Linked DNA regions of Macaca fascicularis. The protein of the gene in region 2 interacts with the protein of the main gene of each other region in a pairwise test. Links are inferred from orthologs where the notes say so. Each region holds a gene or a part of one and is shown on either strand. Other genes may lie near its edges.

The links.
Region 1: the proteins of NECAB2 (region 2) and KANSL1 interact in binary tests that used the Homo sapiens proteins (3 or more experiments, as listed by UniProt). The two-hybrid records come from large-scale screens. The link is inferred for Macaca fascicularis from reciprocal best matches to the Homo sapiens genes NECAB2 and KANSL1.
Region 3: the proteins of NECAB2 (region 2) and NEK6 interact in binary tests that used the Homo sapiens proteins (3 or more experiments, as listed by UniProt). The link is inferred for Macaca fascicularis from reciprocal best matches to the Homo sapiens genes NECAB2 and NEK6.
Region 4: the proteins of NECAB2 (region 2) and ISCU interact in binary tests that used the Homo sapiens proteins (3 or more experiments, as listed by UniProt). The two-hybrid records come from large-scale screens. The link is inferred for Macaca fascicularis from reciprocal best matches to the Homo sapiens genes NECAB2 and ISCU.

The regions. Positions count from the first base shown.
Region 1 is NC_088390.1:67,801,288-67,808,685, forward strand, and holds the start of KANSL1 (KAT8 regulatory NSL complex subunit 1), read right to left. Parts: upstream 4,361-7,398; 5' UTR 4,316-4,360; intron 2,786-4,315; 5' UTR 2,652-2,785; intron 1-2,651. UniProt on the Homo sapiens protein: Non-catalytic component of the NSL histone acetyltransferase complex, a multiprotein complex that mediates histone H4 acetylation at 'Lys-5'- and 'Lys-8' (H4K5ac and H4K8ac) at transcription start sites and promotes transcription initiation.
Region 2 is NC_088394.1:79,839,865-79,847,233, forward strand, and holds the start of NECAB2 (N-terminal EF-hand calcium-binding protein 2), read left to right. Parts: upstream 1-2,528; 5' UTR 2,529-2,561; coding exon 2,562-2,762; intron 2,763-6,051; coding exon 6,052-6,076; intron 6,077-7,369. Other genes in the region: OSGIN1 (oxidative stress-induced growth inhibitor 1), read left to right, coding at 1-40. UniProt on the Homo sapiens protein: May act as a signaling scaffold protein that senses intracellular calcium.
Region 3 is NC_088389.1:19,762,291-19,768,889, forward strand, and holds part of NEK6 (serine/threonine-protein kinase Nek6), read right to left. Parts: intron 4,397-6,599; coding exon 4,256-4,396; intron 2,980-4,255; coding exon 2,917-2,979; intron 1-2,916. UniProt on the Homo sapiens protein: Protein kinase which plays an important role in mitotic cell cycle progression. Required for chromosome segregation at metaphase-anaphase transition, robust mitotic spindle formation and cytokinesis.
Region 4 is NC_088385.1:115,393,353-115,400,716, reverse strand, and holds the start of ISCU (iron-sulfur cluster assembly enzyme ISCU), read right to left. Parts: upstream 4,072-7,364; 5' UTR 4,045-4,071; coding exon 3,931-4,044; intron 3,040-3,930; exon of another isoform or gene 2,409-3,039; coding exon 2,295-2,408; intron 1,402-2,294; coding exon 1,291-1,401; intron 1-1,290. Other genes in the region: SART3 (squamous cell carcinoma antigen recognized by T-cells 3), read left to right, coding at 5,477-5,788.

The DNA.
Region 1 (7,398 bases), on a different chromosome or scaffold from region 2:
GCATATATACACCAATGCAAATTATCTTTTTCTCCTGTTTTTTTTTTTCCTAAAAAACACAAAGTGTATCAAATCATACATACTGTTCTGCATCTTGCTTTTATCACTTAACTGTCTGCCTTGCAGATCTTTCCATATATTATGTCTTAATTCTCTCGTTTTGCTTGTCAAGAACAGTTTTTACGTAATTTCACCATAGTTCAGTCTAGCACACAAGGCACCCAGCAGCCCCTAAGAACTACCTGAGACAACTGATGATGGCTCCATGCCACACACTAAAGACCCTGTATCTTTTCTCTCCTCCTCATTTTCATTTCACTTTTTTCTCCAACTCACTCAATTCTCCTTCCTTTCCCTATACCTCTCCCATCTCACCCACTCCTTAGCCCCTAACCCTGACAACTAGACCTAGCAACATCACTGACATTGCTTAGTCGTGGCTAGAAATATTCAGGCTTTAAAAAGGTACAGACCCCCAACATAGAGAAAAAGGGATAAATAATAATTTCCATGAGAACTTCTAATTAACGAGAGTGCCTTAAATTGAAGAGTTTTGGTCTGGAGTTATTCTTCCTTGTTACTTGCCTCCTCTCGCATTTTGGTTTGTGAAGAGTAAGTATGACACTACTTTCTATATGCATGGAAACAAGCACATACTCAGTCTAACATTTAAGCAATGCCTGACAGAACGACAGAGTTCATTTTACAATAAGATAATTGGAAACAAAATATAAGAGCTATATAAAATTAACATTTGGGCTCCAAAATATGCACTTTAATTAACCTATCATTTCTTTTTACTTAAGTAGCTCCAATCTGAAACTACATCTTAGAAATGTTTTAAGGCTATTCACCAAAAGAGTAAAGTTCTCTCTCCCTGTTTTTATTTTCCAGCCCACAAACTCAATGCTATCCTCCCCGCAAAAAGTACCTTTTTTTCTGACCAGACGAACACTGTAAATTTTAAGGTTTCTAAATAATAAAAATAAGAAAACATTACCCCCAAAAAATTGGTTTACACTTAGATGTTTCGCACTGAGCAAAGGATTGGTAAGGAACACAAAACTAAGGCAGCCACGTAATTACATTCTCAAGTAGTAACAGGTGGTAACTCACAGTATGGAGCTGATTTCCTTTCTCTATTCCTGCCATGCCAGAGACCTCTGGTAGAACTTCTGAGGTTACTGTATGGTAACCCAGGTTCAGAGACATTTAGAGGTAAAACCTTAAACATTGGAAATATCTTTAAAAGTAGGGCTTTCTGTACCAAATACATTCGTTAAAACCTAGGAAACTATAAAACGAAATCCAATATATTCATCTCAATCTCCTTGCCTGCTTCCTAAAAAGGACAGAGGCCAGCAGGTCCTGGTGCTCAACACTTGCTAAGTCGAAACACTCTTACACGGGTCCTCCGATTCTTGACGGGTTCAGAACTTCTGGTTGCATTCCCCATGCAACCCCTCCAACTCTACAGGGAGAATGCTGGAAAAACTGTGTCACTTTGGCTTCCTGTATATTAATATAAGCACTCATTATCCAGCAATAGCAGCTGAAACGTAAATGAAGATGAGAACTCAGTCTACATGACCTAAGATTTCCCACAAGTCCAGATATTTAGGTTACGCAGACTGCATTATTGTCCGATTTCTCCTCTGCATTAATCTGGAAGTCTACAGAACAGATTAGCACACAACAATCTTAACTAAGCTAGTATCCAACTCTGAAGGAAGGCGAAGCTGGTGGAGGGTTTCCAAGACTGCTTATCCTTCTCTGTCCTTCCTCCCATACCCTCCTTATGTCTTTTTTGGTTTTTGTTTGTAAAATTTAAAAATATTTAATTTTTTTAAATGTATTTTTAGTCACAAGAAAATCAAAGAAGCCACCCATTTCAGTCTTAAGCTCTGCCCTTTGCCTAGTCCTAATGGAGGGTTCTTTGGCCATCTATGTATAAAAGATGAGAGAAGCCAAAGAGACTGGAGAACCACCACATCAATGGGAGCTTTTTCATCTAAAGGTCATCTGTCCACACTGTCCAAATGAGGTTTACCCTGTGAAATAAACTTGGCATAAGTGCTACCTGTTGAGAAAAACAGTGTGAAATGTCACGCAAAGGACTGGGGTGCAGCAGGAGGACTCTGAAAAAGTCATACGTGTAAACCAGCAGGTCTTAGAATGTTCTAATATACTATATGCAGTTTCAGAGTAAACAAATGGTTAATGACACATCTTTTGTAACACATGAATCAGCTACTGATTTGCAAGAGTGGGACACACCCTAGTACCTATGACTCTAAAGTACCTGTTTGAAAAGTGGACCTAGATGTCTGAATTGCCAACCTATCCTAAAATTGGAACAGAATTTTATAACTATGTAAGTTGCCATAATTTAAAGTTAAAAAGATCACTGCCTTTCATTATAATGGAAGTTAATTTGAGAACTTCATTAAAACGTTCACACCGATAATCAAAGAACAGTAGCAATGCAAAGTAAGGTACAGCCAATCAATCCTAGGAAGCAAACACAAGAGGCAAGAGAAATGGCAGGTAAAGGAACTGAAGAATAGCAAATTCAAGAATTACAAGCATTACAAAGTTCTAAAGAAAAATGAATAAAATGAGGCTGGTAATGAAAAAATAACACATCTTACCTTAAGAGGCATCCAAATAGCATTCATAGTGTCAGGATATAAAGACAATACTCAGAAATGAGCAAGAAGTCTTAGTAATTCCCTCGGTTACCAAGTATGAGCAGATAGGAAAATCTTTTGTTTCGATAAGGTATCTGAAAGAGAGGATTTTCATTTAGACTAAAAAATAATCAAGAAAATGCAAATAGTTTAAGCTACATGGGCAGAGATTTTGAAGTACTATTTGCCTCATCGCACTAAAAAAGTATAGAAAATACAGTCCCCTTTAGAAAACGGCAAATGTGTGTGTGTCTCCGTACATATGTGTAGAAACATACGTTATATAAAAAGAGAAATAAATATGTAACACTTACTTTAGATAATGTAAAATTGCTTATCAAACAGCCAAAATCCCAGAGAGAATAAAGTTTCCAGGGTACCTCATAAACACTAAACGTGATTTGTTAACTAACCATCTAAAAAAAGACCCTTGCTACATTTAATTATATTTAGTAAAGTAAAACCTCTCTAATCATCCCGACTGTCCCAAGATTATGCTTAAGTTTCAGAGTCAATTCCACATGAAAAGTAAAACCTATTCTTGACTGAAGTACTAGAAACAAATAAAATACCCTTCTTCCCCAGAGATCGTTAAAAGCAGACCGAGCAACTTAATTTTGAGGGTAGGAGGAAGGTAAATTTGCCTGGAGGCTGGAGGATGGACTAAATGACCTCTAGTAGGATCCTCGTTCAAGTCCTGGGCCTGAATACAATTCCAGCTTAACCAGTTACTGCTTCGCTTAAAATGGAGGCTTGCCCGCGTAGGGACAAAAATAACAGCACCCACTTCGTTAAAAACAAATGTCGAAAAGTACCCTTATTTAAATAAAAATAAAAAATAAACACCTCTGGAGTGGATGTGTTCTTGCTATGCGTTTGTCACTGAGGCTTCGAAGACTTGGCATCACTTTCCTTACCGCTCACCGGATTTTGGGGGAGGAGCGGGGGGCGGCAGTTTGACTCCTGACCCAAGTCTCAGGCAGGCTTCAAAGCCCCACCAGGGCCCCCAACTCCAGAGCCAGAGGGAGCGGAGAGGCGAGAGCCCGAGATCGCACCTCCCCCCACCGCGGACCCCAGTCCCAAACCTACCCCTCACCCCTCCGCAGTGGGGCGCCTCCTTCTGCCCCATTCCCATTGTTAGGGAGGGGAGAGCGCGGGGTGGGCTCAGGGCAGGGGCGCCCGCGGCCGTTGCCCGGCTCGCTTCAGGAGGGGCGGCCCGCGGGATGCGGCTTCCCTTCCTCTCCGCGTCGGTCCGTCCCACCTCGGCTCGGCCTGGCGCCCCGAGCTCCGCTCCGCGCCCCCGGCCGCGGCCCCGGCCCGCCCCCGGGGCAGCCAGGCCCCCCGGCCACTCGGTCGGCAGCCTGCGGCCCAGGCCTACGAGTGGGCGCTGGGCGGGGGTCCCCGTGCCCCACACACGCGTCCCTCTCCCCGAGCCCCGCCGCTTCCAGGGCCCTCGGCGGCGCCCGCTCCCCGGGCCCCGCCGCCCCCCGCCTCCCAGCCGGGCCGCTCCCTCGAGCTCGTCGTGTCGGGGCCGCCGCCTCTACCTCACCATCACCCCTGTCCACTCGTGCCCCCACCCCCAGGGGCACCAGTGCCAAAGACAGCTCCCCCAGCCCCGGACCTACCTGCACGGTTCAACCAAGCCTAGAAGTGGGGGCGGGGAATCTTCCGCCCTCCTCTGGCGTTCATTGGCCCTTCAGGGGCATATCGTGAGCACCATTGGCTGAGCGATAGTGTCCGTCAGAGAGATGGGGCGGGACCGAAGGGGGAGAGGGATGCTGGTGCCTCGGCGTCTCTGTCTCTGTGTATCTCGCTGTCTCTGTCTCTGTCTCGGCCCTTGGAAACGAGAGGCTTTTGGATGAGAGGACTAGAAGCGGGCCTGAGGTGGGAGGAATAGGAATAGGAATCCTGCCAGAGCGTCACGCCAGTTGGCCACTCTGAACCCCCTACCTAAGTCCCCTTTAGGTTCTCTTCTCCATCACCCCCAACCCCTGCCCCTCACCCCTCGAGGTTCCTTCATCCAGGAAGCGACGTGATGAAAACTCCAGGCCGGAAGGCCATAGGGAGAGATGTTATATATGTATAGAAAATATACACATATAAATATTTATATATAAATTCAACCAGATATCAGTTCACTAGGGCCTGGAAAGGAAAGGGCACACATCTCACAGACAGGGAAGGACTTGAGATAGAGCCGGCAGAAGAAGGAATCAAAAATCACTCTTACGAGCTGGCAACAGTGGTTACCTCCTGGGAGGGGAACTGAGTGCCTAGGGAACCAGTGGGCGGAAGACTTACATATCTCGGCGTATCCTTTGTATCCATTGATTTTTGCACCATTCATCAAGATTCCAATTTTTTAAAAATTGATTTAAAGGTTTAAATAAGGTCCCAAAACCAGGGGACAGATAAGATAGTTGGCCAGGAAAATTGGCACAACATGCAGATTTGGGGAGGAATCTTAGCTTTTAATATATTCAGTTCCAGGTAACAGGGTTTTGTAAAACCCAGTGAAGGTGTCCTAGAGGCAACTGAAGTTACAGAACTTGAGAGAGGGTAGACAATCAGGAGGACTAGAGACTATGTGGGGTCCTCTGCCTGAAGATAGTGGTCTGTGACATGCTAAACTCCCTAAGCAGGGTAATAAGACACCCACGGTAAAAGGTAGGAGAACGAAAAAGAAGGTCAGTGAGGTAAAAGAAACAGAATATTAAAGAGGCATGAAAATTAAGGAAGGAAGGGTCTGTGGAAAATAGAACAATAAAACTATGAGAGAGGACGGGCGCGGTGGCTCATGTTTGTAATCACAGCACTTTGGGAGGCCAAGGCAGGTGGATCACCTGAGGTCAGGAGTTCCAGACCAGCCTGGGCAGCATGGTGAAACCCCATCTCTAATAGAAATGCAAAAAAAATTAGCCAAGTGTAGTGGCACACCTCTGTAATCCCAGCTACTGGGAAGGCTGAAGTGGGAGAATTGCTTGAACTGGGAGGTGGAGGCTGCAGTGAGCCAAGATCACGCCACTGCACTCCAGCCTGGACAACAGAGCAAGACCCTGTTTCAAAAAAATAAAAAATAAAAACTATGAGAGCCTCATAGGTCTTACCTCTTTAGGCTCTGGTAACCATGGGACAACAAAAATGAAAGCCAAGGCCGGGCATGGTGGCTCACGCCTGTAATCCCAGCATTTTGGGAGGCCAAGGCAGGCAGATCACAAGGTCAGGAGATCAAGACCATCCTGGCCAACATGGTGAAACCACAGGCATGGTGGTGCATGTCTGTAATCCCAGCTACTCGGGAGGCTGAAGCAAGAGAATTGCTTGAACGAGGGAGTCAGAGGTTCCAGTGAGCTGAGATCAGGCCACTGCACTCCAGCCTGGAGCACAGAGCGAGACTCCGACTCAAAAAAAAAAAAGAAAGAAAAAAAGAAATATAACAAACATACACAGAAATTGAAAGAAAACCAACTATACTAAAATATGGTTTTCAAAATATTTTTATAAGTGTAATATAGCGATATATATACTTTTTATTAATGTATTAGATAATCTAATAGCAGGCCTAATGACCACCATAATTCTGAGGTCATAAATAAGCATAAGTATTATTTTATGATGCCTGCAACAACTATAATGTGCATTGATCTTAGACAATAGGCTGAGAAGTGATCAACTGTAGTATATGAAAATACCTGGCCGGGCGCGGTGGCTCAAGCCTGTAATCCCAGCACTTTGGGAGGCCGAGACGGGCGGATCACGAGGTCAGGAGATCGAGACCATCCTGGCTAACACGGTGAAACCCTGTCTCTACTAAAAAATACAAAAAAACTAGCCGGGCGAGGTGGCGGGCGCCTGTAGTCCCAGCTACACAGGAGGCTGAGGCAGGAGAATGGCATAAACCCGGGAGGCGGAGCTTGCAGTGAGCTGAGATCGGGCCACTGCACTCCAGCCTGGGCGGCAGAGCGAGACTCCGTCTCAAAAAAAAAAAAAAAAAAAAAAAAAAAAAAAGAAAATACCTGTGATGGGCTGGGCACGGTGGCTCACTCCTGTAATCCCAGCACTTTGGGAGGCCGAGGAGGGTGGATCACGAGGTCACGAGATGGAGACCATCCTGGCTAACACGGTGAAACCCCGTCTCTACTAAAAATACAAAAAATTAGCCAGGTGTGTTGGTGGGCGCCTGTAGTCCCAGCTACCCGAGGAGGCTGGGGCAGGAGAATGGCGTGAACCCGGGAGGCGGAGCTTGCAATGAGCCGAGATGGCACCACTGCACTCCAGCCTGGGGGACAGATCGAGACTCCATCTCAAAAAAAGAAAAACAAAAACAAAATACCTGTGATTTCTGTTCATGACAATGTCACAGGTACTGCTGTTGCTACTGTGGTTTGTTGTTTCCATTCATAAATGAAGGAAATGTCAATTTCCTGTTGAACTTTCACAAAAATAAAGGCAGGTTATTTTTTCTATTCCAAGTTCACAGGAGTCTGTGGACCACAGGTTAAGGAACCCTATCCTAGGCTGCGGCAGGAAGATGGTTTGAGCCTCGGAATTCGAGGCTGTAGTGAGCTATGATTGCAGCACTGCGCTCCAGTGTGGGTGATAGGTGGAGACCTAAATAAACAACAACAACAATAAAAACCGGGGAAGGAGAGAATTTTAAAAATTAAAGAAAAAAAAGAAGAAAGAAAAAAGAAACTCTGCCCTGAAG
Region 2 (7,369 bases):
CAGCTCCCTGCTAAGGAAGGAGACCAGGAAGCCACCCTAACACCCGGCCAGACCTGCTGGCTCCCAGGCCCTGAGAGGACAAAGATGACCACATCTCTGCTGGATGTAGGGTCCGTCCAAAGATGCCCCAGGGAGGGGCGTCAGCCCACATAGCTGACCTTTGGGGTCAAGAGGAGTAGGGATCCCAGTGTCTGAGGTGGTAACAGTGGCCGCAGGCCAGGGTCGGCCTAGACCTAGGATTTGGGGGTAAAGCTGCTGGTGTGAGCTGGGATCACCAGGACCAGCTGAGCACCCAGCAGGAGACCTGCAGGCCTGCGCCTTCCAGAAGCAGGTCCCAAATAAAGCCAGTGCCCACCTGCACTCATGCGTCTGAGGACTCTGTGCTCAGGGAAGGAGCTGTGTTCCCGGGACCCTGCACTGGGCTCGGGGGAAGGGAGGGAAGGCGATTGGGGGAGGAGTCCTGGGGCATGTGGTCCTGGATGAGGTCCATGACTGGGGCCTTGGGGTACAAAGGATGGTGCCCCAAGTGTGGGAGCAGTTGAGCGGGCAGCTGTACTACAGCCTGGGGGTGGCAGTGGCGGGTGTGTGCAGGGAGTGGTGTCCCGGAGGGCACTGCAGTTCTGCCCCCCCCCCCCCCGCAGTCTGTCCCCTCTCCTCTCTGTTCTGCCACGTGGCTTCCTTTCAGTCCCTCCTGCTGGCCAGGTCCCTGCCTGCCGCAGGGCCTTTGCACAGAGGGTCCCCAGCCCAGGACAGTTTCCCGCCTTTCTTTAATTCCTCTTCCTTGGGGTCTCTCAGGGTAAGAATCACTTCCTCTAGGAAGCCTCTTCTGACACAAATCCCTCCACTGCCATCGCAGCAAAGACTCCTCTCATGGTCCAAGGTGCTACCTTTTCATAGCAGTTCAGTTTTTATTTTTCTATTTTTTTGAGACAGAGTCTCATTTTGTTGTCCAGGCTGGAGTGCAGTGGTGCTTGGTTCACTACAACCTCTGCTTCTGAGTTCAAACGATTCTCCTGCCTCAGCCTCCCAAGTAACTGGGATTACAGGTGCCTGTCACCTCACCCAGCTAGTTATTTTATTTTTAATAGACAGGGGTTTCACCATGTTGGCCAGGCTGGTCTTGAACTCCTGACCTCAAGTGATCCGCCCTCTTTGGCTCTCCAAAGTGCTGGTATTACAGGCATGAGCCACCACACCCTGCCAGCAGTTCAGTTTTAATTGTTCATTTATTTGTGGAATCATTTCAGTGTTTGGCTCTGCCCACTTGGATGTAAGCTCCAGGAGCTCCAGGAGGCCAAGTACACCATCTGTTTTGCCCATTGCTGGAACTCAGCACTTGGGCACCTGCCTGGCACCTAGTGGGTTCTCCTTAATTCATCTTTTAAATGAATGGGTGGATGGATGGATAGATGGGAGGATGGTTGGATGGATGGGAGGATGATGGGTAGGTGGACGGGAGGGAGGGTGGGTGGGTGGATGGATGGGAGGGAGGATGGATGGATGGATGGATGGATGGGAGGATGGTAGGTGGATGGATGGATGGATGAATGGATGGGAGGGTGGGTGGGTGGGTGGATGGACAGACAGATGGGCAGGCGGGCAGATGGATGGATGGATGGATGGATGGATGGATGGATGGATGGATGGATGGATGGATGGATGGGAGGATGGTGGGTGGGTGGATGGATGGATGAATGGATGGGCGGGTGGGTGGGTGGATGGATGGATAGATGGATTGATGGACAGGTAGGAGGGCGGATGGATGGATGGGTGGGTGGGTGGATGGATGGATGGATGGATGGGAGGATGGTGGGTGGGTGGATGGATGGATGAATGGATGGGCCGGTGGGTGGGTGGATGGATGGATAGATGGATTGATGGATAGGTAGGCGGGCGGATGGATGGATGGATGGACGGACGGGTGGGTGGGTGGATAGATGGATGGGTGGATGGAGTGTAAAAGAAAGATGTTCTGGGGTGAAGACTGGTTCTGGGCGTTGTGTAACGAAAGGGGCGGCCTGAAGGGTCGTCCACGCCCGCGGGAGGTAAGGGTGGGCGCTCTCGGGTGTGACAGGGCCCGCGGTGCGTGGGCGCCGCTCCCTGGGGCTGGAGCCGGCAGAGGGCGCTCCGGGCTGGCTGGACATCCGCGCTCCGGCCCCTGCAGCGCGCCGCGAGTGGGAGGGGGGACTTTAGAAGCGGGGACAGCAGGAGACTTTTGGGGAGCAGACCCCAGGGGCGCCGCCCTGCCCCCAGGCCCCACCCACCCCGCGCCTCTGGGTAGCCCCATCTGTGGCTGCGCCCGCGCCCCTAGCCCCGGCGGGCAGTCCTCAGGCCCCGCGCCCGGCCGCCGGGGGTGGGGGCGGCGGGGAGCGGGCACGTGTCTCGGGGTCCGGCCGGCCCGCCCCCCGGCGCTGGCCAGTCCCCGCGGTGTCCGCGGCCGCGGGGGCAGCGGGAGAGAGGGCGGGGCAGCGCGGCCGGCGCGGGGAGGGGGTCGCGCGGGGGCGGGCCGCGGCCGGGCGGGGGTCGGCGGGCTTCCGGGCGGCGGCGGCGGGCGCGGCGCGATGTGCGAGCGGGCGGCGCGCCTGTGCAGGGCCGGCGCGCACAGGCTGCTCCGGGAGCCACCGCAGCAGGGCCGGGCGCTGGGCGGGCTGCTGCGCTGGGTGGGCGCCAGGATGGGCGAGCCCCGGGAGCCGCTGGCCCCCGCCGTCCCCGCGGACCCCGGCCCAGCCTCGCCGCGCGGGGGCACCGCCGTCATCCTGGACGTGAGTACGCGCCGGCCGGGACCCGGAGCCCCATCCGCCCCTCGGGCGGACCCCGACGCCGCGACTCGCGAGGCCCCCCCTACCCGGGCAGGAGACCCCCAGCCCCTTTGCGTGCCAGAGCGGGAGACCCCAGCCCCGCCACGTCCAGGCCGGTCTCCAACCCAGTTGTCTCCCTGGGCCGGGAGACCCCCTCCGCCCCTCCACCCGCACTTCTCCGAGTCCCTGCCTGCCCACAGTGAGGACCCGTGAGCCCCCGGACCCGGCCACTGTCCCCCTAGTTTTGTCCAAGCCAACCCCCCACCCTTTACCCCGCGGGACCGGAGTCCCTCGCCGCCTCCAGCCCCCTCCTCCTCCCTCGCCGCCTCCAGCCCCCTCCTCCTCTCCATCCCGGCTCCTGTCCGGAGCGATACTTTTCAGAGGCCCCCAACAACCCCTACCTCTAGCCCACCTCTCTTCGCTCTAGACCCTGAGCCCCTGCTCATCTCACGCCCAAAGACCCTTCGCCCCAGCTACTGCCACTTTAAAAGTGAAGCTCCCTCCCCACCTTCTGTCTTCTCGTCTCCTTTCCGTAGAGCCAGAGCCATCGCCCATCAGCCCTGAGCCAGTACCTCTCTGGTCTTCCCCACCCCGCCCCCTTCCATTCCAAGCCCTCTCCTGTCTTCTGTTCCCTTCCCCACACCCCTCTACCCTAGCGAGAGCTGGGTCCTCTTCATGGACCAGACTCACCCCTCACCACCCCTCCTAACTCCCCTGGGACGCAAACCACCCACCTCTGGGAAGCCCACCCCACCCTCCCGCCCACCCCACCCGGGAGGGAGCGGCTTGGAGGAGGAGGACTTCTCCCGGCAGAGAGCACTAGGAGGAGGTGGAGGGGGCTTCTGGGGGTGTGGACTGCGTGTTTCAGCGAGGGTCCTTCTGGGATGGCGCTGGGGGCTGCCTCTGCCTGTGTGGTGGATTTCTGGGAGAGTGGTGGGTGTGTGTGAATGTGTGTACACGCGTGTACAGCAGATCCCTGTGAGTCGGGGGGGCTCCTTCCCTTCCTCTCTCCTCTTTCCTGCTCCTGGAACCCTTGGCAGGGTCTGGACTCGGGGCGGGGGGGTGCTGGACACAGCAGGGGAAGCTCTAGAGTGCCACACTCACAGGCACAGACACACACTCGCACACAGCCAGAGAAACACCTGTGCAGCCACACACACACCCCCCACCCCGTCTCAGGAGGACCCCCACAGAGCTCCCACTGAAAGTCCTAGGCAGAGCCCTGCAGGCCCAGGCTGCCCTGCACGGAAGCCCTGCCCAGTGAGGGTGGGGGCTCTGAGCCTCCATCTCCTCACCAGCCAAATGGAGTGATGAGCAGGGGCGGGGCGAGGGGTGCTCCTGCAGACTCCTGGAGCTGGCTGACATTACCAGGTGTCAGCCCTGCCATGTCACTCATGTGTTCAGCATTCCTGCCCAGAGTCGGCACCTGCCTGGTGCCTGGCCTCAAGGGGGATCTGGGACACCCAGATAGGGCCCCAGCTTTGAGGAACCTTGCCCAGTCAGGAACAGGGCTGCAGGGTGCCCAGGCTGGATCTTTGAGGAGGGCCTGGGGGTCTGAGGTTCAGCCGGGAGGAGGGGTGATGTTTGAGAGGCCCTCCCGTGCTTCAGTCTCACCGCCCAGGTGCCTGGAAATGACCGAGGGTGCCCCTGTCTCGTTGCTTGGAGGGATGGGGGTGGAGGGCATCTGTCCTTTACCCTAAGGCGAGGACAGAGGGTGGAAGGGTCAGAGTGAGTATTACCTCCTCCCCATGGCTGACCTGGCCTCAGCAGCCCTCCCTGGTGTAGGGAAATGTGCACATGTTGCTGCCCCTCCCTGGGTCTTCGCACCCTCCTTGCTACAACAAGCCAGTGAGATTGGGGTGGGGGCCACCCCAGACCCTGGGATCCTTCTCAGGCTTTAAAGTGCTGGTGGGCCAGGCACCGTGGCTCGTGCCTGTAATCCCAGCACTTTGGGAGGCCGAGGCAGGTGAGTCACCTGAGGTGAGGGGTTCGAGACAGCCTGACCAACAAAGTGAAACCCCGTCTCCACTAAAAAATACAAAAATTAGCCAGGCATTGTGGCAGGTGCCTGTAGTACCAGCTACTCGAGAGGCTGAGACAGGAGAATTGCTTGAACCTGGGAGGCAGAGGTTGCAGTGAGCCAAGATCGCATCACTGCACTCCAGCCTGGGCAGCAGAGCGAGACCCCATCTCCAAAAATAACAAATAAAAAGTGCTAGTGAATCAGTCCCCTTAGGATCTGGTTACGGTGAAAGGTCTGACTCCACTACAGTGCAGAGTAGGTGGGACGTCCTGCATTGCAAACAAGCGCCTGCAGGACCCCCGAAGAGCTCCTGTGAATAGCAAGGTCTTAGCACACAGGTGTCAACATTGTGCCTGGGAAGCTTTAAATATGCTGAAATCAGAGCGGGCCTCACAACAGCTGATTCAGTCACCCTGGGGTGTGGCCTGGGCTGAGGAGGTTTTGAAAGCTCTCCAGGTGATGGTGTTGGAATGGGCGGAAAGCTGCCTTCGAGCCTCAGCCTGGCAAGCGGCACTGCCAGCCAGACCTTGAGGGAAGGGGAGCAGCTCTAGCCCAGGGATTTGGATGTCACTGGAAAGGCAGGAAGAGGAGGCACCTGGTCTGTAGGTTCAGGCCAGCCTTGGAGCTGCCCTTCACCCATCCCTGCCTAATGCAGCCAGAACCTCGTCTGTGGCTGCTTTTCCGAGCTCTTGGCGTCCTGTTTCTCCTCCTGCACCCCAAAATTAACACAGTCCTGCCTGTGGCTGGCATTGTCACCAGGCCTTGCAAACACCTCCGTCGGACTTATCCCAACCTCCCTGGAAACACACCAGGGGTTCTGGAAGGACTGCAGTGGTAAAGGTTGTGGCGCTCCCTGGGACACTGATTGGGAGTGTGGTTGTATGCAGCTGAGCGTTTGGCGGTGGTTGAAGCCGTGTGGACTGATGACTGTGGATGTACACCTGCAGGGATGGCCGTAGGCCTGCGTGTGTCTGTCGGCATGGCTGGGGGCAGGCTGGTGGTACTGGCAGCCGCTTCCGCGTGGGCAAGGCGAAGGCCTCTGCCTGCAACATCCCTCTCCCGTTGGCCCTGGATCCCAGCCCAGGGATGGGGAGAGGGAAGAGGGGCTCAGCTTCCCAAGACCCTAAGCTGCTCCTAGGAGAAGAGAAGGATCCCAGTATCCGGTCAGAGGCCGCCGGAAGGGCTTGCCTCTCCCTGGCCCAGGGCTGACTCGGCCTCTCTTTTCTGCAGATTTTCCGCCGTGCGGACAAAAATGGTGAGTTTCCCTCCCAGGCAGTCTGCCGCCCGCTCCTTCTGTCCTTGTGCTTCATGGGGAAAGGATCAGGGATAGGAGACATGTGCAACCTTGAGCCTAAAGGCTTGGAGTGCAGGGGTCTGAAGTTAGAAGGCCAAATCCTGCTGCTGCTCTGTGCCTCAGTCTCCCCATCTGTAAAATGGGAATCCTAGTAGGGCCTACTTAGCAGGGACACCTCCACTCGAGGGCTCAATGAGTCATGTCTGTGATGCCAAGAACAATGGCTGGCTGTGGTAAGTGCTGGGTGTACTTTAGGCCTTTTCCTAGCTGGGTTGGACCAGAGGAGCCCAGGCCAGGGCTCAGAAACCCTCCTTTAAAGGAAGCCCCCAGCTTCACGCTAGGCCCTTTACAAACCTTGGTGCACTTCTTTGTAGCAACCTGAGCAGTCAGTGCTCTTGCCTCTGTTGACACCATAGCGACCCAGAGAGGTTAAGCAATTTGCCCCAGGGTTGCCCAGCTGCATGAAAGAAGTGGAGGCTCTCCTGCAGACCCGGGCCCTTTTCCCCTTATCAGCCTCTTCGAAACGGTGAGCAGCATCTTGTGGCCACGGAATTCATAGCACTCCACTTCTCCCGACTCCTTGGAAGGGCTCCACTTGGAGAAGGAGCCCAGGCCTTGAGAATAAGCACGGTTAGGAAGGCCCAGCTGAGCCTCAGCTAACACAAAGCACCACACCTTCTTAAAAATACCATGCAGGTGCAACGCAACTCACCGTGGACTTTCACCAAGACACATTCCCTCTGTGGGCCTTGGTTTTCCCGCGGGTAAAGTGGGGCAGTAACACTTGCCCTGCCTCTTTCCCTGGGTTTTGGGGAAAAGCCAGAAAGGGGGTGTAGGTGACAAATGTGTTTAAAGAGAATTGAGTGCTCCTGGTGTGTTCATTCATTGAGAAAATCCACATCAAGTACCAAGCCTGTGCCAGGGGAAGAGCAGGCAACAGAGACCCTGTGACCTGCCCCGGGGCCCTTGGTCCTCAACACCTCTGGCTCCGGTTCCTCTCCTGCACAAGCTGGAGTTGAGGATGGCAGCTCTGGCCTGGGTCTCCAGCACCCGCCTCATCCCTGGGAGTTCCTGTTGACGGCTCCCACCCAGGGCGGTTGCAGGGTTGAGTTGGAGGCCTTGGGTGGGGGTGGAAGGGCAGTGCACAGGCCTGGGCTGGAATCAGTTCCGATAAGTCTCCCATCCTGGCCTCCTGCATCCCTGGGGGTGATGGTGACCACTCCCAGGCTTCTGGGGAAGAAGGACCATCAGCAG
Region 3 (6,599 bases), on a different chromosome or scaffold from region 2:
CCTCCCCCATTTCCCTACAGGTCTGAGGGCAGGGCGTTAAGGAAGGGCTCCCTTAAATGCCCAGGTAGTCGACAAAGGCACAGGCAGAAAGAGGCTCTGGACATCCATTGGGCTAAATCCTCAAGGTCCAGAGAGGAGAACGGATCAGCCACGGGTCCACAGCAGCAGGGGCTGAGCTGAGTCTAGAACCTGGTCCACACGGGGTCCACTTCACAGCCTGTGGCCTCTTGGTGGGCCCAGGTGGGTCTGGAAGGGGACACACTTGGGCCAGGGACAGGGAAGGTGCTGCAAAGACGCAACGTGGTTGGGCCTTGCCTGGCTGTGGTGGTGGCCAGAGGGAAGGGAGGGAGAGCTGAGAGTAAGGGTCCCTGTCCTTTGAATCTCTGCCATCAGGGGCTCTGCTACAAGCTCCAGGCCCTCTCGGATGTAACACAGAGTGTCTGTCTATGATCTGTCTTCCCCACTGGGCTGCATCCTGGTGTCCAGCATTCAGTGGTGCTCAGAAATTGCACGGAATGAATGAACACACTTCTGTATTCCACACGACCCGCCTTCTTGTGCCACGCTTGGCAGTGGTGCTGACAAGCCCCCTGCACTTGAGAGGTTTTGGGTTTGGGTTCTTGGCATGAATGATATGTCAACCAGTCACCCCTCCGAGAACCACGTTTCCTTTTGTTTTTTGAAGGAAGCACCTCGGGCCCCGGCACATCCTGTTGACTTCCCATGGGCTACCCGAGGAGTGGGACCCGTGTTCTGGAAAGTGGCTGGCGTTGGCGGGCAGAGGTGGTAACCATGACAACCGGGCTGCCTTGGACGGCGAGCGTACCACACACCAGTGCTGCCCTGAGCTCGTCAGACGTGCTTCCTCACTGACTTCTCCAGCATGCCTGTTGTCATCATGCCCCCTTTACAGATGAGGAAACTGAGGTCCTGAGAGGCCCACGGCTGGCCCGCAGCCACACAGCTAGTGAGCGAGGGGTGTGTCCTCTGAACCCAGGCTTGACGCCTTTGGCTGCACCACAGCCCTGGGGAAGGGGCAGAATCCCCTCCGCGGCCAGGTGGGCTTACGCCAGGCTCAGGCTCCTGCAAGGCAGGAGCTGCGATGGCACATCTGTGTGACCAGGGACCAGACCAGGCTGTGCTCAGCATGCTCACCCGCGGGTTCCCTCACTTGGGGAGAAAGGCATGCAAGGTGGGGAGAGGGCAATGGGTGATCAGGGCTGGGTAAGTGGCAGCAAGTTGACCATTACTTAAACATTTAAACAATGCTTTCGAGGGATATTTTTTGACCTATAATAGTTAGCGGTAAGGACATCTCCTGTCTCCAGCCTTGACTCCATCACCCACTGTGGCCGGGGGCCACCAGAGCAGGCACTCACAACTCACACCCCGCCATGGCCCCCCAGCTTGCAGCCACTTCAGGGGCTCCCCTTTGGTTCTGCGTGTGTATCTGGCCCTGCCGCCATGTCCGGCTTTCTGTCTCCCCAACCTCCCATAATCCACACTGCTGCAGTGCCTGGAAGCAGGCTCACTTCGGCCTTCCAGATTCTGGGATGGTGCCCTGGCCTCTGTAAGACCCGCTCAGGAAGTGGGTTTCCCCGGGGCTCCTGGCCCACCAGTCAATCTGCATCACCCTGGAAGGTCACCATCTGCTTCCCCACCAGCCTGGAAGTCCCCAAGGGCAGGGCCAAGGCCTGAGAAAACAGGGTAGGGTGTGGTAGAATAAACTGCTAATCTGAAATTCTGCAGCTGTGGCTTCAGCAGGCATCCCTGCCACCAGCAATCCCACTTTGCTGGAAACTGCCGAGCAAATCCAGTATGTTTCACTGGGGGCCGGGCGCAGTGGCTCCTGCCTGTAATCCCAGCACTTTGGAAGGCTGGGATGAGAGGACTGCTTGAGGCCTCAGGAGTTTGACACCAGCCTGGGCAATATAAGGAGACCTCATCCCTACAAAAAATTAACAATGTGGCCGGGCGTGGTGGCTCACACCTGTAATCCCAGCACTTTGGGAGGCTGAGGTGGATGGATCACCTGAGTTCGAGACCAGGCTGGCCAACATGGTGAAACCTTTCTGTCTCTACTAAAAATATGAAAATTAGCTGGGTATGGTGGCGGGTGCCTGTAATCCCGGGAGACTGAGACAGGAGAATTGCTTGAACCGAGAAGGTGGGGACTGCAGTGAGCAGGGATTGTGCCACTGCACTCCAGCCTGGGCAATAAGAGTGAAACTCCGTCCAAAAAAATAAAAAAAAAAAATAATAATAATAAAAATTAGCCAGGTGTGGTGGAAAGCACCTGTGGTCCCAGTTACTTGGGAGACTGGGGCGGGAGGATTGCTTGAGCCCAGGAGCTTGAGGCTGCAGTGAGCTATGATCATGCCACTGCACTCCAGTCCAGGCAACAGACTTTGCCTCTTCAACAACAACAACAACAACAACAATAAAAACCAAAGAAAAAGGCTGAGAGGAGAGACGGAAAGAGGATGAGAAAGAGAAAAAGAGGGAGGCAGACATGGAGACAGAGGCAGAGCCAGAAAAGCTGCAGTCTGGATGTGACCCCCACACTGAACTCCTCCCCTGGCTGGCCAAGCCTGGTCCACAGAACACTGGGAGGCAGGGTCAGGGCTGCCCTGGGGGGAAGGACTTCTATGCCGGGTACTGCCATGTACAAGCAGGAGGGGCGTCCAGCAAGGAGGAAAGACCCCGAGGGCTGGGCAGAGTGATGAGGCAGAGGCCGCTCCTGCCTGGCCATGAGAAAACTCACCAGCCACTGCCCCTAGAAAGCCATCGTCTGCGAACTTAGCAGGGGCTGCGGATTCCTGGCACCCAAGGGCAGTGATGGACATGATGTGGCCTAGCCGGTGCCCCAGAACCTCCCCGAGGATGCGAGGTTCCCACTCAGCCCCGGGCACTCACCTTCAAGAGGCCGATCTCCTTGACGCAGTCTTGCCTTGCCTTGGCATCCATCATCTCAAAGATCTTGGGCGGGAGGAAAAAGAGAAACAGAGTGGTTACAATCTGTGTCCAGAGCCCCTGTAGGGGGCTACGGGGTCTGCTTTCCAGTCCCGGCTCTCCCACCTCCTCACCGAGGGACCCCCCGCACCCCAGCCCCTGTAAGGTTTACTCACTGTGGGTCCCCCAGCACTGTCCCACCACAAAACCCATCGTGGCACTAAAGAATCAAGACAGGGAGCTCAGGTGAGCCCCTCCCCAGAAGATCGAGAGAGAGGGCCAGGCATGGGGGCTCACACCTGTGATCCCAGCACTTTGGGAGGCTGAGGTGGGTGGATCACTTGAGGTCAGGAGTTTGAGACTAGCCTGGCCAACATGGTGAAACCCCGTCTCTACTAAAAATATAAAAATTAGCCGGGTGTGGTGGTGCACGCCTGTAGTCCCAGCTACTCAAGAGACTGAGGCAGGAGAATCGCTTGAACCCGGGAGGCGGAGGTTGCAGTGAGCTGATCACACCACGGCACTCCAGCCTGGGTGACAGACTGAGACTCTGTCTCAAAAAAAAAAAAAAAAAAAAAAAAAAAAAAAAAAACAAGAGAAAAACTGGTCCTTTTTTGGTCAGAGGACCCCGCTGCTCCTCCAGTGCCCTGAAGCTACTGGTGTTCTCTCCCAATTTCCCCGACGCCATTCTCTCTCCCGGGCCTCCTCTGCCCAGGCTCTCAATCTCATTCTTTAAGGACAAGTAAGCAAATCAAGGGGCTTGGGAAGCTTTGCTGGAGGATTTGAAGCCATTTCCTCCAGCAAAGCCGTGTTCAGATGGGCCCAGCAGCTCCCGTGGACATGGCTCCTGTCCTGACTTTGCCGCTTGATCTACTTCCTCCATTTAGGAGGGACGCAGAAGGCAGGAAGCCCACAACTGTGGAGCAAGCACAGGTACAAGGATGAGTGGACATGGTCTGAACCTCAGCTCCCCCGTGACACACTGGGACCCTGGGGTGTTCTGAGAGATTGTCCTCATCTGAGAGATGAAATGACAGTCCCCACCCACGGGACTGTTGCCAGGCTCCATGTGCTCCTTGCATGACCCAGTACACAGCAGGCGCTCAATGCATGCTTGTTTTTCTTTTCCTTTGTGGTTCACAGTGAACAGGTGTCTACCTGGTTCTCCCTGTAACCCAGTGGGTTGGGTGCTGTTTCCCTCGTTCACCGAGGAGGAGAGAAAAGGGACTGGCCTGGGCACCCCGTCCAGATGCAGAGACGGCCTCCAGAGATGCAGGTTTGACCCCATGGGTCATCAGCTCACCTGCACCTTCTTCAGAGCCACCGTCTTCCTGTCCAGCAGGCAGGTGGCCTTGTACACCTCGCTGAACTGTCCTCGGCCTATCTTCTTTTCGATCTGGAAGTCCGCCAGCGAGCAGCGAAAAGACAGGGTGTTGGGGTGCCTCTGGAAGAGAGGACAGAGGGTCTCCGTGAGCAGCCAGGCTGGAGCAGAGGCCTGGGGACGACCCCTAGAGCCCCAGCACCCCAACAGCACCCTCTAAGGTGAAGGAGGGACTCTGCTGCCAACCCTGCTCTCAGAGCCTCCCAGGCGCACCCCCAGGGGCTTTCTGCACAGGGTCCCTGGTTCCCCTTAAGGACCCCCACTGCAGGTGAAAAACTGAGGCTGTTCACGCTCCCCACTGCCCTTATCACCGCCTTCATTATCTGACTGCTTGTTTGCTGTCGCTGAATCCCATCCCCGGGGGTTAGCTCCGTGGGACCAGGGGCCTTGCCCATCTCATCCTCTCCTGAATCCTTGATGCCCAAATTGGGGTCCAGCAAGCTGGATGCAGGTCAGGTCTCCCCCGCCCATGGCCACCATGCCAAATGCCCCAGGTCATTGTAAGAAATGGTAAGTTCCCCTCCTGGGACAGCCGTTCCCCATCTCAGACAAGAAAACGCAGGTTAATATTTGTAGCTTTGGCCAGATGTGGTGGCTCATGCCTGTAATCCCAGCACACTGAGAGGCTGAGGCAGGCGGATCACTTGAGGTCAGGAGTTCGAGACCAGCCTGGCCAACATGGCAAAACTCCGTCTCCACTAAAAATACAAAAATTAGCTGGGTGTGGTGGCACATGCCTAGAATTCCAGCTACTCGGGAGACTGAGGCACGAGAATTGCTTGAACCCAGGAGGCAGAGGTTGCAGTGAGCAGAGATTATGCCACTGCACTCCAGCCTGGGTAATGGAGACTCTGTCCCCCACTCAAAAAAATGTGCGGCCTTACACACTGAGCCCATGCTTTAAATAAACTACTTTTTTAGGGTGCCGGGAAGAAACTAGAGCTCCACGAAGACTCAGCAGGGGCCAGCGTTGGAACACGTGATCCTGCGCTGGGACCTCCCCAGGGATGGAGCCTCCAGGTGAGGCCGCAGTGGCCAGGAGGGCCCCGGGACATCTGTGCAGTGAGCTCTCAGGAAAAGGCAGGAGGGGGCGCCAACCCTGGGCCAGGGAAGGAGGAGACAGACAAGGGGAGAGGATGCCACATCTCTGGGCTGCCCTATGGTGAGATGGGCCCTGTTGTGTCTCCATTTGCCCGATGAGGAAACTGAGGCCCAGAGGGTCCAGCCATGCCCACATCACCCAGCTCCATGCCACTGCCCCAACTGAAGCAGGAACCAGCCGTTCAACTTTCTAGCATGAAATGGGTCTTTGCTGAGGGTCACACTGAGCTGGGTGCTGCACCAGGTGTCTCTGGGCGTCAGCACCCTGGCGGAAGGAATCAAGACCAAACCGAGAACTATAGGACTGGTCCTTCTGACAGCTGCTTCCCTACCCGGAAACACCAGGAACTGCTGGCTGGACCACCTGGGTCTCAGCCTGAGATGGCTGTGGAGCAGGGGCACGTTCCCTGGGCAGGTCTAAGCTGGGTCCATCGACTTCTCCTCCGTCCTTCTCCCAGGGTGCCTAAGGGGAACCTGGTTATGTGGTGATCCCTACTCTGGGACCCTGAATCATGACTTAATGAGAAACAGAAAGTCACTGGAAAAGCAGGGAAAAAAGTAAAGTGAAAATGTTTCTTCCAGGCCGGGCGCGGTGGCTCACGCCTGTAATCCCAGCACTTTGGGAGGCTGAGGTGGGCGGATCACTTGAGGTCAGGAGTTTGAGACCAACCTGGCCCAAAAATGCTTGTAAAACTATGAAAATTAGCTGGGGGTGGTGGTGTGTGCCTGTAAATCCCAGCCACTAGGGAGGCCGAGGCAGGAGAATTGCTTGAGCCTGGGAGGCGGAGGTTGCAGTTGGCTGAGATCGTGCCACTGCACTCCAGCCCGGGCGACAGTGAGATTCCACCTCAAAAAAAAGAAAATCTCTCTTCCAGATTTGGCTGAGGGAACTCTACAGAACACCCTCCTGCGGGAGTGAGTGATGGGAGTCCAGGCCTCACGGCACACAGCAAGGTGAGGGCTGGGCCAACCTTGACTTTGAAGCCTCGAGGCCTAATTACCTCTCATGGTGGGTCCTGCTGGGGGACCCGACCTGGAGGGCTGCTGGAAGAGGAAGATGATGGTTTTTTTTTTTTTTTTTTTAATACTTTAAGTTCTAGGGTACATGTGCATAACGTGCAGGTTTGTTACATATGTATACTTGTGCCATGTTGGTGTGTTGCAC
Region 4 (7,364 bases), on a different chromosome or scaffold from region 2:
CCTTTGCCTATAGGAGCAGCTCTTCCAGATCAACTGAGGAGGACGCCTGGGGTCTGGTTGACAGCCCGGGGGGGATAATGTGAGGCAAACAGATCCTCGCCCATGTGGAACAGTGCCCCACCGCCTTACAGAAAACCAGATTTCCCAACAGCTGGGCTCCTTCGCTATGTCTGACTATCGTTCAATTTCCCAATTCTGCTAACCCTTCTTGGCTGATTCAGGTTCTGCTCCTGAAACTCAGATAGGCGATCTCAAGGTTAAAGAAAATGTTCTCTCTCCCATTTTCTGATCACAATTCACAGTCCCCTAAGAGGCAGGTTCTGGGAGCATAAGTGCCTTGTCTCATTTCTCCCTTCACCTGAGGACAGTTCCTGACAAATCACTTCAGGGCTACCTCCTGCCAGAGCAGGTTAGGTCTGAGCTTCCTGGCCCACAGGAGCTTGCCAGCCAGAAGGCCGTGAGCCACAGGAAGCAGGTGGCACGTGGCCTGGCAAACCGCTCTGCCGTGGAGCTGGCCAGCTCCCAAGCATGCTCCTCCATGACTCAGCTCCCTGCACCTGGTCCCTTGGGGCAGCAAAGATGAGTGCCATGATGGTTGGCTTTTCTGAGAGGTTCTGACAGCAACTGGATTTTAGAAAGTCCAGCTCTTCACTGCTTTTGGGACCTTTGACCTCTGCAGCTACCAGGGAAAGACACTTCGGAGAGAAAGGGATGAAAGAGAAGTTCTAGCTCTTTATTATCTCTGCCTTTAGAGGGCTTGCGATCAACCACCTGGATCACTGTTCTGATTTCGTTGTTCACTTTGCCCCTACCCTTGCTGTGTTTTTGATTCTTTAATCCCTCTTTTAACACAGGCTAGTTTATTTCACCAATCCTTGTAAGCCACCTAGAACCCTTCCTGAAACATGAGAGGAAATAAGCAAGAAAATAACTACCATATAACAACTCTCTGACTTGACAAATTATAAGAGTATTGGTAACCTTAGAGAAAGCCAAAGATTTCTTCTAAATTCTATTTTGTTAGAGGGACAGGTGATGATCTTTTTTGTATGTAATTAACACCCAAACAAACAAACAAAATGATCAACAAGAAAAAAACCCAAACATCATCTAGAATGATCTATAATTCCCAATTTGAAGAATTAATATAATCAACATCTGTATAGCAGAAACTTTAAAAATTCAGAATATTAAAAAAAAGTTATGGTTGTTTTTGACCCATTAGACCCGTCAAGAGACAGGCTTGGGGTGAATGCAATTTCATTCTGTCAGATTTGTGAGCAACCTTACCGTCTTTCCTTTCACCCATTCAGTGGCTAATGAGCTGGAGGCAATTGCAGAACCACAGCCAAATGTTTTAAACCTAGCATCCACAATTTTCCCCTTTTCATCCACTTGAATCTAGAAAAGAGACAAGAGTTAAGTGGTGAGTCCTAGGACCACCCTCTGGAACTTGGCACTCACGAAGGTTCATTGGGGCCTTCCCCAAGGGCTTTGGGCTTGCTTTCCATACTAAGTGATGGTATTAATTACTGATTTTGCCTTGTTTCAGAGAGCTCAGTGATGAAAAGTGAAATGCAGGGACAATTATCCAGGCCCAACTGACAAAGATCAGCTGGAAAATATGTTCCTCCACCCCAATATTATTTTGTTTTGCGACTCTGGCTTGCATTTTGGCTATGAACTTCTATTTGAGGCAGTCTGCTCACAGCTGCTGGGGCAATCTGCCTCTTAAACACTGAGAGAGTACACAATAAAGGTCTCTGGTTAATACTTTTTTCTTGGGCAGCAGATTATACTTAGTGGTTTCCTCCTGTTTTGTTTCTGTATTCCAAGATAGGTATGAAGATCTCTGGCAAGCTGCCCACTCACCATGAAGCAGCAGATTGGCGCTACAACAACAGTTTACCCAAAGCACTAGACACTATCTTCATGTTGCTCCCAATCTGGGGACAGGTTTAATTTACTGTGTTTCTTATCTCATTGGGGACTGCTAGCTCACTGGGATTTTCCTTTGATCAGTAAAATTCACAAAACTCTTTCGTTGGCTGAAGTTGGAATTTAAACTTATACAGTGAGTACAAAAATGAGATTACTTTTCTATTTCGGAAAAAGTCGGCATAGTACACTAGCCTGGCAGGAGAGCTACGATTGAGGCCCTGTTCCAATCACGTCTAACATGGACTCATCCCATCTCACAGGAATAAAGATGGAGACCGAGTGAAATGCTGTATGTGCAAGTGCTTTGTAAACTTAAAGGGATTATTGTTATCACTATTAAAGACTAGCCATACCTGTAATTTCATTACGTCACCACATGCTGGAGCCCCCACCAGTCCAGTTCCAACATTTTTAGATGTCTTGTCAAGGGACCCCACGTTTCTAGGATTTTCATAATGATCAACAACCTAAAATGAGAGGGTTAAGATAAATCGTGTTCACTCTCTATTGGTGCTGGTCTCTGGTATGGTGGCAAGCTCCTGGAAGTCAGCATCTTGAACCTGGCAGGCAATCACCAAATTTCACCTGAGTAGAAAGGTCTACACTCATGTCAGTGAGAACCATTTGTGACCCCCAATTCCTTTTGTGTCTCCTCTACAACTACTTCACAGATTAGCGACACCTAGAAGAAAAAAATATCAGTGAAATCATGTCTTAATTCCATAGGGTTTTTACAAAAATACTTGACTTTTACCCACCTACATCACCAGACTTGGGCTCAAACAGCAGTTTTGTTATTTTCAAATAAAAACTATCCTCAAAGGATGATTACTATTTAAAAATTCTAAAAATAACTATGGCCCAGGAAGGGAAAACTTTTAGAAGCCTTAAGGTGACTGTTACACAGAGAACAATGCTATGGAATGTGTACGTTTATGTGTCTTTCAAAATAAAAACAGTGCCATTACCGTATTTCAGAGCCTGTCATCACCCTGGTGCAGCAGCGCACCCTGGCTGCTGAAAGGCTGCTAGTCCAAGTTTCCTCGGGGTGTACCCTCAACGAAACACACCGCCGGGAGGGGGAGGAGTGAAGAAGCCCTTGGAGAAAGGGCAGAGGCCAGATCAGAATCAACATCCATTCGAACTGGCACACAGAAGGCCTTAATGTGGTTACTGGTTAGTAGTAAGCACCCCGATCTTCCAGTCCCCTTTTCCTCCCCATCTGACTAAGGATTTTGACTCCAAGTAAAGGCCCCTATAGGATAGTATCTAACGGAGGGACTTTTTGTGCCACGTTGATTTATGGCATTCTTTGTTTCTAGAGTGGGAGTCTCACGTCTGGGGGACTTTGCGTCACCAGACAGCAAGGGGCTGCAAACTATGCATCTATCCCTCCTTCCCCGCCAAAAAAAAACCCCCAAAACAAAACAAAAACACTACGCATGTTGGTTACAAGCCTGACTCCCCTATGCACTCCTAAAGCAGTAACAGAAACGGTCTCCTCGTGCTGGGGCCTATGTGCCAGGAACCATGACAGGACTCCATGCACAGTATCCTTTGTAAGAGACAGCTGAGAGTCCTCATTTACACCTGGGGAAACAAGTTCAGAGAGGCGCAGTGACTAGCGCAAGGTCATCTAGCCAGGGCAGCAGCGTGGCTGAAGCCGGAGCCCGCTCCGGGGGTGTGTCTGTCCCTGGACTCTAAAAGACAAGTCCCAACAGGACCCTGCCTCCTGGGCTGTTGGCGAATTTAAAGTTGGGACGCACGAAGTCGCGGCCAGCGGCGGGGCCCCCTGGAAGTCGCAGCCCGATGAGCGGTAACTGTTGTTTATCAGTTGCAGTGAGCCTCACTGCGCAGCAAGGGAAAGTGAGTCAGGGCAAAGACGTGGGAGGCGACAGCTAGTCCTGGCTGCGTAGAACCCCGCGGCCGCCGCTCCAGCCCAGGCCTCCCCCGAGTCGGCATTCCGCGTGTCCCCTCGTTTGTCCCTACCTTCTTGTGATAGAGTCGGGCCGGGGCCGATAGCTCCCGGGCGGGCAGGCGGGGGCTCCGGAGCAGCAGAGCCGACGCTGCCCGCCTCAGACGGCCAGCTCCAGCTGCCGCCATCTTGCCGGCTTGCGCCTGCGCCAGTCCAGAGCGATGCCGAGGGGCGGGGCGCGTCTGCGAGTCGGCGCCGAGCTGGGAGCGCGCCTCTCTGGCGTCACCGAGGCTTTGCGCCTGCGCCTTACCGTTCCGTGCAAGCCTCCGCCCTGTGGCCCCGCCTTGACCACGCCTCTCGGGGGCGGGCGGGGTCGGGAGCGGGAAGGTCTGAAGTCGCTAGAGGGCTTGTCCTGGGTGCTGGATTCTGGTTGAGAGAGGATCTCAGGCTTCTGCAGTGTGGGAATGCGGCGCAGAGGACCACTGAGTCCACTTTTCCTAACCCTATTTTGCAGCTAAGGAAGCTGAGATTCAGGGCAGTTTGGTCACTCCGTCCAAGGTCGCTTAGGGCTTAGGTTCAACTAGAATTCGAACTTGGGTAGTCCTGGGTTAGAATCCTGGTTCGGTTCCTTCCTGGCTGTGTGTCCCTAGACAAATGGTACCGGCTTGCTAAGTCTGAATCTTCCTTTTTGTATTAATTCGAGGACAATTCCTTCATCATGAAGCCAGCATCTGTGTTGAGTACCTACTATGTGTCAAGGCACTCTACTAGACCCGGGGATCCAACAGAAAGCAAAACAGACGTAATTCCTGCCCATTAAGCTTGCTAATGAGGGAGCAAGGTAGAGATAGAGACACACTCCAGTACTTGCCTACCTCAACAATGGGAAGCTTAAGAAGGAAACGAACACCATGTCCTGATTGAAAAAAAATGAGTATATGTCTATTTTTCTCTCTGAAACAACAGCAAATTCAATTTATATGTCGGTGCCTAGCAATTAAGAATTTCTAAAGAAATGCGTATTTACTGTTGGTTTGCAGTATGTGAGCTTATAAAACCGGAAAACTCAAGTGTATTTAACGCCTCCTAGGTACCAGATGTTTACATAAAGGGGAAGAATTTCTTTGGGAAATGGATTTTTCTCTTGAATGGTGAAATCGATCCTTCCCCGAGGACCTGCAGTTTTCTTTGCGTTTGAGGTGCAGTTGCTGGGGAGACTAAACCCAAGCGCCAGGTCACACTAGGCGATAAGTAAGGTATTTTTTCTAAGAATCACTTTGACCTTCTCAAGATGGCGCCAAATTCTTTACTACAGACACCACGCTCGCTTCATGACTTCCTCTATGGCCTCCACTTCCTGCCCAAAGACCCAACTTCTGTCCGAAGTTGTGACGGAACGTATGCCATGATAATGAGTTTTTTCTCTGGTGGGAGTTTTTACAGGGGTATAAAATAAAATGAATTTAGTGTATTTGGAGATTTTCTCGTTATCTAAGGTTCCCAGTTTCCCTTTCAGTGTCAAGAAAACGGGCTTTTGATAAGGCGCGCGCCGCGGGCAGCTTCTGCCTCAGCGGGTCTTCGGCGGCCGCGGGAAGACCCGAGAGTCATTAGAAGCGCAAGATGGCGACTGCGGCCGCAACCTCGGCTTCAGAACCCGAGGCTGAGTCCAAGGCTGGGCCCAAGGCTGACGGAGAGGAGGATGAGGTTAAGGCGGCGAGGACAAGAAGGAAGGTGTTATCGCGGGCTGTGGCCGCTGCGACATACAAGACCGTGGGGCCAGGGTGGGATCAGCAGGAGGAAGGCGTGAGCGAGAGCGATGGGGATGAGTACGCCATGGCTTCCTCCGCGGAGAGCTCCCCCGGGGAGTACGAGTGGGAATATGACGAAGAGGAGGAGAAGAACCAGCTGGAGATTGAGAGACTGGAGGAGCAGGTGGGCCCGGGGGTGGGCAGCGGGCACCTTCCAGTCTTTCAGGTCCTCAGGTCCCCGTGTCCTGGCCCGCCTCCCTAGTCCTCGGCGGCCATAAAGCCGCCAAGGCTGCAAACCCCTTTTTCATGACCGTAGCTCCTGTCATTTGAGTGCTTACTGCGTGCCCGGTGCTTTGCAAATGTTATCCCATTGAATCCTCACCACCCTGTGAAGGAAGCCCTGTTATCTATCCCCATTTTACTGGAGGAAACTGAGGTTCGTGGAGGAAAGTCTCTTGCTCAAGATAATACTTCCTGCAAGTCAGGCCTCGTACTTTGATCCCATTCCAGAACTCCCCCTCGTAGCCACACGTCCAACAGTAGAAATACACTCATTCATAAGAGACTGTTACTTTGTTGTGTAGGAATGACGGCGGTGATGAAACTTGTGGTAGGAAAAATATTGACCGCGATGGTGATAATAGAAATGGAAAGGTTTGCTGGTTCTGGAGGTTAAGGCCTCAGTTCTAGCTGTTCCACCCTTGTATGTCCTTGTGAGAATTTCTTAATTTCTCTGATCCTCTCGGCTTCCTCATCTGCAGATTGGGAGCAACAATGTCTGCATAATATAATTGTTGTAACAGTATCTATAGCCCAGTGCCTAGCATCTAGTCATAACATGGTCTCTCGTTTGTAACCTTACGAGGTGGTGATATCTACTGTATAATCCAGGATCTCAGCAGGAAATAGGTGGCACATTTAGATTAGGATGATCTGAGAGAAAGTAAGGGTGTGGGTATGGGAAATCAGGAGTGAAGGTTTAGTATCCCATGGCTAGTAACTCCTGAACCTGGTGTCCATCTTTGGGCCTGAAGGGGTGAAGGGAATGATCTGAGTTGTGTGGAGAGGGCACCTGAGACCTGCTGATAACTTTGTTCAAGGGATGCAGCTCCAGTTTCCTGTCAAGGATTGGGGTGGGGGAAGAAATACCTTGACCTCCCTTTCTTCCTTCCACCAAACTTCTCCTGCTGGTGCCTTCTGCTGGGCAGACCCATCTGGAAGCTGAAGAGCCAGAAAACCTGTATATGGGGTCTATACTCGGGGACACAGGGCAGGGAGGAGAGGGTAGGGTGTGTTTGGAGGGGGCAAACAGAAGAGATGGAGCACATTCTCTCTCTTTTTTTTTTTTTGAGACAAGAGTCTCGCCCCGTCACCCAGGCTGGAGTGCAGTGGCACCATCTCGTCTCACTGCAAACTCTGCCTCCCTGGTTGAAGCGATTCTTCTGCCTCAGCCTTCCCAGTAGCTGGGATCCAGGCATGCCCCATTGCGCCCGGCTAATTTCTGTATTTTTAGTAGAGATGGGGTTTCACCATGTTGGCCGGGCTTCTCTTGAATTCCTGACCTCAGGGGATCCACGCACCTTGGCCTCCCATAGTGCTGGGGTTACAGGCCTGAGCCACTACGCCCGGCCCACATTCTCTTTTTACAGATGAAGAAACAGAGGTTCAGAACAAATGATGAAATGATTTGCTTTAAGTCGTTCATAGTGGGATTTACACCGAAAATGTGGACTAGATGCCACACTGGATGTGAAATCACT